Drosophila melanogaster: one gene and its partner. The protein of the gene in region 2 interacts with the protein of the main gene of each other region in a pairwise test. Each region holds a gene or a part of one and is shown on either strand. Other genes may lie near its edges.

What was found.
Region 1: the proteins of CG8435 (region 2) and CG8219 interact in a two-hybrid assay, tested with the Drosophila melanogaster proteins (one large-scale study listed by BioGRID).

Annotation. Positions count from the first base shown.
Region 1 is NT_037436.4:6,198,369-6,204,276, reverse strand, and holds CG8219 (uncharacterized protein), read right to left. Parts: upstream 3,805-5,908; 5' UTR 3,738-3,804; coding exon 3,639-3,737; intron 3,546-3,638; coding exon 2,955-3,545; intron 2,902-2,954; coding exon 1,834-2,901; intron 1,777-1,833; coding exon 1,606-1,776; intron 1,552-1,605; coding exon 1,380-1,551; intron 1,319-1,379; coding exon 1,223-1,318; intron 1,168-1,222; coding exon 1,092-1,167; intron 1,027-1,091; coding exon 852-1,026; intron 791-851; coding exon 677-790; 3' UTR 501-676; downstream 1-500. Other genes in the region: LanA (laminin A), read left to right, coding at 1-102.
Region 2 is NT_033778.4:16,169,096-16,172,558, forward strand, and holds CG8435 (uncharacterized protein), read right to left. Parts: upstream 1,767-3,463; 5' UTR 1,689-1,766; coding exon 1,665-1,688; intron 1,611-1,664; coding exon 1,042-1,610; intron 982-1,041; coding exon 573-981; 3' UTR 505-572; downstream 1-504. Other genes in the region: Ptp52F (protein tyrosine phosphatase 52F), read right to left, coding at 2,147-2,464, 2,523-2,897, 2,956-3,090, 3,151-3,221, 3,283-3,463.

The DNA of each region.
Region 1 (5,908 bases), on a different chromosome or scaffold from region 2:
AAGGGCTGCATCAGCAAGGTGGAGGTTAACCAAAGGATGATCAACATCACGCCGAACATGGTCGTTGGCGATATTTGGCAGGGCTATTGTCCCCTCAACTAATAAAGAACTTCGGAACGACTTAAGGACCTATGATTTATTTGGACAACGACTACGAAAAACTGCCAGGAAGAATCTTCTTTTGCCGACAACTGCTAATCAAAGGACAACGAACGATCAAATTTCAAACGAACAAAATCGACGGGTCATAAAAAAGTCATAAGGTCTTCAAAGTAATAGATCCTTAGCAAAGATGCCAGTCGTATATATTCCTAGTACTATAAGCCAAACTGCGTGCCAATTCTATTAAAGCCATTTACATTTATATATCCTTTTTAAAACTCCTTAAGAGAATCTTGCATTTTTGTAATTCCAATAAACCAATAAAATAAACATTTTAATGAAACTAAAACTTTTGTTTTTTTATGTCATAAGTTTTAAATGGTGTAACATACATTTTTACAATTATTGAGACTTTATTTACAAAAATATTTCAGGTTTTGTTGAATTATTCATATTATAAATGATTATATAAAATCGTATATTACTCAATAGCTGACTTTTTTTGGGGCTTTGGTTACTTAGTAAAATTAGAATGATGATTGAAGCAATACATAATTGGCTGGATAGCTTCGGATTAGTATTCGATGTCGTACAGTTCGATTAGCCGGCAGGCCAGTGGTTGTGGAAATTTCCCCAAAAAAATTAGCCAATTCTCCGCACCCGTTTGGTTCTTAAAGCCTTCGATAATCTAGAATAACAAACGAGTATTGTTGAAAGACGAAAATTAATAATTTCCGGAAATAACTTACTCTTCGAATCATCTGACGCAGATCCTGTGGAGGATTGTCCCACGAGGCAATGGCATCGCAAAAGAATAAGAAGTCGGGCACCACGCCTCCTGGATTCTCCCTGATCATATGGCACATTCCCATAAAAGACAAATACTTCTCGTCGTGGTCATATGCGTAACGCAATAACAAGCACCTTCATTTCGTGGAAGAAAGGATAATTTAAAAAATGAGCAAATGAAGCATTTAATGTGTACATACCACTGGCGTAGGAATTCGGGCAAATAGGGAGCCACTTCATCTGGACATGCATTTCCGAGGCGCCCAAGTGTTATTGCTTAAAAAAAAGAATAATAATAATAAATTACTTTAAATCAGGCCAAATTACTTACCCGCATTCCTCGAAAGATTTTTTGGAATGTCCTGCCGGTTCATCAGGATCATTAGTTCGCTAAGCAGAAGGCGTACGTACGGCTTGGTTTCCTCACCTTAGGGGCGAAATACAAAAAATCTTTTTTGTTACATTATAAGAGAACCAAGCCAACTTACCCAACTTAACGCAGATTTGCCCTATGGCCCAAACTGCATTGTTGCACACACCAACAACGCTGGGGTTTAGGTTTTGCACCAAGATCAAAATAAAGTGGGCCGTGTAGGGGTATACCTGGGAAAAACAAGCCCCGCTCAAATCACCCAGCAGGGCAAACGATGATTGGCGAACCTAATATGTATTTTAATCCCATATACACGAGTATATTAATTAGGTAAAACTTACTTCGGGCATAACGTCGCCCATGCATTGGCAGAGCAGCTGCAAAAGTTTGCTGTTGGCCACCAGTGGCTCTATGAGGCTCTGCAGCCCCTCGATCAAGCCAGACACCAGATCCAGGGCGATAACCATGCGCTCCTTGTCAGGATAATCGGTTGATTGGCTTTGTTTACACATCTTGAAAGGAGTCGAGTTCATTGATAGATTTACATTGAAGCTAACACAGTTGCTTACCATGTCCTGGTTGATAGTCTCCTCAATAATGGAGATGCCCTTTCGATACACCGAGTCGCAGTAGGGCAGAAAGGAGGACTGCAACGCAGTGGCGATGCTCGATAGGCACTCCAACAAATAGATTATATCTTTGTCGTCGTCCTTTACCAGGTTCCACTTATCCATTAGCGGAGGCATTAGGATGTCAATATATTGCGGTTTATTCAGATGATGACCGACGGACTCCGCTAAAAGACCAACGACATCGTACATTATCAGTAGATTCCTTTGGTGGTACTTGGAGAAGGCTAAGACGAACGTCTTTAGCATATTCTCCAGGTAGGGCACCAGTTGCGTGCAGGCCTCCTCCTCCAGAGCGACAAAGGCAGAGCACGCAGCTTCCTGAACGCGCTTATTGGAGTCCAGGATGCACTTCAGCAGTTCCTCGATTAGAGGCTCCAAGTACTTGTCGTGCGGCTGGTTGAGCACCCATTTGGGGAATCGCATGAACGTCCAGCATGTAATGGAGCGTACGAGTGGCTTCTTGTCAGACAGACAGGTAATTAGGTAGGGAATCAGCTCTGGTAAGTGTGGGATCAAGCCCTGCATGCAGCCCTCCGCAATAGCTCCCAAGGCCATCACACCACTTTCTTTGATCACCCATTCCTGGTGGAATAGCGCCTCCTTTAGGATGGGCAGCATAAGGGGCAGACAGACATCGCCGAAAATTTTCGAAATAATGTCGAGAGCACAAGCGCTGCACTTGCGCAAGTTCAATGCCGAATCCCACATATCGTCGTCCGAGTTTTCATCCAATTCATTACTTATACCGTGTACGCGGGACATGTGGAAACGTGGACTGATATCCTGCTGTCTATCAGGCTCCTTGTCATCTTCACCTACATCGCCCTTCAGAAGAATAATGTCCGTCTCCGTGTATTGCGTTCGGCTTACAAGAACTGGGACTAACTGGGATAGAATGGGAGAAAGTATATCCCTGCAGTTTCTCTGCTTTCCCAATGAAAGCCAAAATTCGGTGGCCTGCAGAGCCACGTTCTCATCGGCGTCCTGGGAGCGCAACAAAATGAGCTACAGAGATTTTTCATTACGTTAAAATTTAAAACTAAACCTTAACTTCATACCTCAATAATCTGCGACATGTGCGGCATCATAAGGTCTATGCGCACCCCCACCAGACCAACCAATGCGTGGCAGACGTTCATGCGAACCGCTGGGTCATTATCCGAGGGCACGTCTAAGAGGTTCTGAATGAGGCTGTCTATGTTTAGCATCAGGGCCTGTGATCTGTTGATGATGAACTGGTTGATGCAGGCAATGGCGTGGGAGCGGATCTTTGGACTGCTGTGCTTAAAGTACTCCAGGAACTTTGGAATCATTGTATTTAATGGCATATTTTCCAAAATTCCGGCAGAGTCCTCGCAAATTTTCTGCAGAGCACTGAATGCTCCTTCGCACACATTGTAGTCCTGGTTGTCGAGCATTTCGCAGAGAGATGGAAGCAGCTGCGGCCAGTTGTGCAGACCGATATTGCTGGCAATGGTGGTAATCAGAATGCCCACGGTGCCACGGATCTCGGGTGAAGAGTCGCCCACTGCCTGCAGGCACTGGTGTTTGATATACTCCAGGTGTTCCGGCTGCAGAGTGATGTCGTGCATGCGAATGTTGTTCTTGAGGATTAGGCCGCTCATGGAGCGCGTTGCCTCGTTTTCCGTCTTCAGATTCGTGAGCACATAGACGAGATAGTTGTTGAAGTCCGGGAAGCACCCGATGAGGATTGCTAAATCAGTTGGGTCTTCGGTACTTACCTCTTGCACGGCTAGCTGCGTGGCTTTACCGGGAGACTGTGAGTCCTTGAGTATCGGTAGGAGCTGCTGCAGACCTTCATCCCGTGGTGTCCATGCCATTTTGCTGCTGATGCAAAAGTTAGCCGGGTTTTGTATGATAAATGTGGGGTAAGGTCTGCCAAAGGGGGCTACCGAAGTGACAGAGAATGACACTCTGTTCTCGGCCTACTCATATCCCATACAAATCAGAAAATCCATTATCTTGATGGGTAATGTTTGTTATACATACATATTTATTCATATATATACTTTTCAATTTACACAAATCTTGATAGTTGAATTTTGAAATGGAGTTTTTAGCCAAACAAATATATAAACTCCAGAAGAATAATCTGTAATCCATATAGTTTGATGTAGGGATTATACATACATGCATGTATTTCATATATATGCGTATGTTATTTATGCATATAGGCCCGTATATATATTCAATTTCGTTAGACATTTGCAGAACATTTGATTTAGCCTAGACAGTGGTTGTAAGCTTAAACGATTAGAGATATAAACCTATCAGAGTTGAATGTTCGATGAACGAAAAGTTTTACGTGCTGTTTATGAAGATATAGATGGTAAAACAATATTTACTAGGCTTGGTCTTGATTTACTTAAAAAAAACAACGGAAGTTAAATATCATAATTGTGTAAAGTACTAAAAACAGTTGGTATGTTCTCTTCATCGATTTAATAGCATACACACGATAATATTGAAAGAAATAAGAAAAAAATTCTCTAATGCTGCACAAATAACTTTTGATTTGCTGTTTTAATTTGTTTCTTGCCCTAGCTTGACCTAACATTTAGTTTATTTGATGTTCCCTACTTTTTTTTTTGGTTTGCCCTATCGTAATGAAAAATAATATTTTAAACAAAAACCTACTCTGCATAAAATCTATAAATATATTTCATATTGCTGTATATGTGTGGTGTGTACATGTTTAATGTTGTATGTTTATGTGTAGTTGTAGTAGTGTTGATTCAGTTTTTTTGTTTTCATTTTTTTTTTCTGCTTAAACGCTAATCACTAAGATCACCCGAGAGAGATACAAACGCACGCGAACGCGACCGGATTCCGCGATGAATCCGGATTAAGGTACAACGAAATCACGATTTTTCATTTTAGTTTAGTTTCAGTTTTAGCAATTGCTATGCTTCCGCTTTAGTTAGACCGTATTATTATCAAGTTATCAAGTATTGCGATTATTATTTGGGACTCGGGGGCGAAAGTCCCTTATTGTTAGTTTTTAAATTGATTGAGTTTAACGCGACGCGAACGAACGACCCGAAGTTACTTTATTATCACACGTTCCCCCATTTTCGAAACGAAATAAAAACACAAACGTAAACACGGTTTGCATAATTACGTAATACTATTACTTAGATTTACTTACTCTTCTTACGCTTCATAATCATCCATTTATTTTGTATTTGACTGAGTTTGGTTTTCCCTAGTTTTATTTTTCGTATGTTTTAGTTGTTCCGCGACAATTTCAAAGACTTTTGTTTTCATTTAGTAGTACACTTTACACCTAATCATATAATTGTAAAAAATTTGTTCTGTACAAAGATCGTAAATTATAGAGGTTACGCAAAACACGAGTCTATACAAATGATATAAAAGTTCGAAGAAAATAATAATAGTTCATTAATTACACTTGTCCCTATACAAAAAAAAATTATATAATAATACTTTAAAAAGTGATCAGTCAATGGTTGCTTTTGTATTCAGTTAATGGAAAATAAATAAGATATTCAACAAAATCCTAATCTCAATTTTACAATGTTTCCCTATTTGCTTGCTTTTCGCTTTCACAATGCGTAAAAAAACACCTAATTTTGTATAGCATATGAATATCATTAAGTGTATCAGTAAATTTGTATCAGTAACAGTTGCAATATTATCGTTATCCTTGTATTATATCCTTTTTTCCTTTTTCTTTTGTTTTACCCGACGAGATACCACGAACGACGATTACGATTACGAACGAGCGACGAAAATACGCGAACGCGAAACCGTTAGAACCCGAAACGCGACGATTTTTTTCGATTCCATTTTTTGTTTGTTATATAAATGACGAAAGTGTTGGATACTTCTGGGAAATTGGAATCCGCTGTTGATGAATGCTTTCTATGGTTTTTGAACGGAGTTGAACATCAGTCTTTGTTTGATTTGTAACAATTTTGTGTGCACCTGCCATTGAATCCATTTTTCCATTTCTGATCTTAGGATTTCA
Region 2 (3,463 bases):
TTTATGAAATTAATCGTTAGAATCGATTATCATTAACTTGTAATGCATAATATTTAATTATCGTATATGTATATTTATAATTTTCTTTCGCTTGTGATATTATTTATTATTTTGATTGCCCGAGTTTTAGACGTAATACATTCACCACTGTATATATATCACTTAGACTTTAATTGTAGTCGATATCAGTTTCGTGCGTGGAAACACACTCGTTTATCAAATGGTTGCCAGTAAATCGGCTATGACAGCTCCAAATGAGTGGGAGTGTACCTTAGAAGAATACTTTGCAGTTACCTTTTGCTTTGATTAATTTTCTGTTTGAATTTGAAATGAGTTTGCCTTAAGTTTGGCCTTGAAAAAAATTTGAAAGAATACAAAATGAAACAAAGTCAAAATATTTAATAAAATGATGCATTATTCCAATACTTTATCGGAATTTTCAGTCAATGGGGATCTTGGTGGATTGCGGCATATTTCAAGTTTAGTAAAATAAAACCATCGACTGCTTTTATTATTTGAACTTGCTTTAATCTGTCTTCGAGTTGTAAGTGTGTCATCAGGTAAATGCTTGGTCAGTTGGAATCCTCTGAGCTGTCACTGTAGGCAGCCAAGAGGGAAAGTCCAGCTGGAGCGGCAGCTGGCTGATTTGTAGCTTTAGTTTCCGCTGGTGCAGACACAACTGAGGGCGTGGTTGCGGCTGGTTTGGATTCAACTTGCGTCGTTCCAGTGGCTACCGTGGGCTTTGCTACTGCGGTTGCCTTGGGCTTGACCAGCACCAATGGTGTCTTCCTTTTAACCATTGACTGCGCTGCGGATGCTTTGCTGGAGGATGTGGCGGAAAGACTGATCGTGCTGGGCTTGGCCTGTTTGGCTGGTGGAGGAGCTGACGGTGTGTCCAACGGTTCATCCTTGATCTCCTCAATGATTTCCTCAGCGACAACACGAGAGCTTCCTTCTGGCTTGTTCTTAAAGTTTACGGACCTAAGGAAATGTAATGTGTTAAATACACCGACCAAATAGAATACCTAGTAGAGAACTCACTTAATAAAATCCTCGTCTTCGCGCTCCTCCCGCTCCTGGCGCTCTCTCTCCGTCTCCACCGTGTTGTACTGCTGCAGCAGAGTGTTGTAGTCCACTGTCTGCTGACGCCGGTTGAGATCACGCAACTCCTCCAGGCTCTCGATCGTTTCGATCTCGTTGCGCGACTGTTGGGTGCGATTCTCGAGCAGCTTCATCGGATTGTTGGCCTCCTCATCGCGCAATTCCTGCTCCTCGCGACGTGCCTGTTCCTCGGCCAACTTGAGTGCCATGAAATTCCTGGTGGCCCCCGCCTCAATCTCGTAGTCCGTGTTCTGTGGATCTGTCTTGAAGGAGATCTCCTGCAGGCAGCGCGTGCACTTGATGTAGAACCGATAGATCCTGATGCCCAGGTACGTTTCGTTCTCCACGTCCTCCTTGCGAGCGTTGAATTTCTTGCCCTTGTATATGTATTCCCCACACGTTTTGCAGCGCATATTAAATGGAGCCATCAATCTCACGGTGTACTGCCGGTTTTTGGCCAGTTTCATGCGCGGAATCTTCGATGGATCGAAGTCCGGGGGATAGTATTTCTGCAGAGGAGTCGGTCAGGTGGCGATCTATTAGCTTAAGATGTATTTACTTACGTTTAAGACCTTTCGCTCGGACATTTTGAAGACTACGATTTATTTCTTACTAAAATAAATACAATTTATTTATCTGCCTAACAGTGCTGTAAAATGTGTGCAGTAAACAGTGCTCAAAGGCGTAATCCGCCGTTGTGAAAATATAGTTGTCTCGCTCCTACCTTTTTTTGTAATTGCATTTACCGCCAAATTTGAATTTAATAAAAACTCTTATAAACTGTTATACACGATACCTCTTTTTGTAAATTCTTTGCTCATTGCCCAATTTAATAAATAAGTTCAATAACTTATAGTTTTCTGCTATACATGCGCTTCTTTATAAATAACATTTATGTACAAAAACAGTTTTTCAAATGCAATTACCAAATTTATATCCACACTTTCCACTTAATATACAATTTAGATACATATTTCTTTGGCTATTATTGCTGCTGCGTTGTCAACACATCGTTAATACAAAAGTTACAAGAACACAGCTCATCTCACATATTGCTGCTGCTAGTTGGGTTATCGTTTTCGCCCGGTGGACTATTCCTCCGCAGTCCGGAGAACCTAGAAGGCAGCTGCACGATGGGCCTACCGTCATCCAAATCGGTGATCGGTGCGGATGACACATACTCACTGCCCACATCCACGTCCGGAAAGCTCACCTTTTTGGGAGAGGGAATGGCGGGCACGGTCACGGACTTGGGACGCCCATCCATTTTCAACGCAGCTCTGGGTATCTTATGCTTGACCAGCTCATAGGTGCAGGCGTAGAGGAATGTGTACTGCTGCTGCGTTTGCACCATTTTCATGCGCTGAAGTAGTGGAGAAGTAATGAGATAAATCCACAATGGCACTGAAAAAAAAACCCACCTGGAATCGCAGCTTTTTGACCGTTTCGAAAATGTTGATTTTCGACTCGCTCTTCAATCGCTGCATGATCAGATCCAGGCCAATAAACGTGCCCGTCCTGCCCACTCCCGCACTGCAATGGACGACAATGGGCGAGTAACTGGGTCGCTTCTCCGCCTTCACCTTCTTCACAAACATAATCAAATGCATGGGATCCTCGGGCACGCCGTGATCGGGCCACTTTTTGAAATAGTAGTGGATCACCTTCTCCTTCAGTCCGTACTTGTCGTGCACAACAGTCAACTCAGTTCGATCGTACAGCTCCAGAACCTCCTTGGACTTGATAGTCACAGTCAATCCACGCACATTATACGGATAGTACTCGTGACACTTGATCTGTTGACAAGACAAAGAAGGCTTAGCTTCCATCTCAAGGACCTAATCATGTACCTACCGTATTGCCCTCGCGAAACTGGGTAACTTGAACAATAACCCGCACGTTGTACTGCAGGATCATGCGCCAAAAGTCCATCACACTCTCTGGTTTTGGTCCCTGGGTGGCTATGTACTCCTTCTTACGCGTGTGACCCTGTGAAGTGGATGCACTTAAGATGATCTTCCTTAAGGATTAGCTATAACAACTACTTACATCTATGAAGGAGGCATTGATGTAGTCCGATCCCTCCGCATCGATGTCCAGAATCACGCGATTCTTGTCATCTATTAAATGGGAAAAAATGTGGTTTCCCATAATGGTTATTGCTACATTGAAGTTACTCACAAGGAAATATGTCCGCATAGCGATTCTTGTGGCAACCCAATTCGGAGGCGGAATAGCTGAGCTCCAAGGCCACAACGGTGATCTCCTTGAACTCCCTGGCCAGTTTCTCCGGCTTGGCAACTTCGGTATAAAAGATGGCAAAGTTCTTGGCAATGACATTGCCAAATGGATCCTCGATACC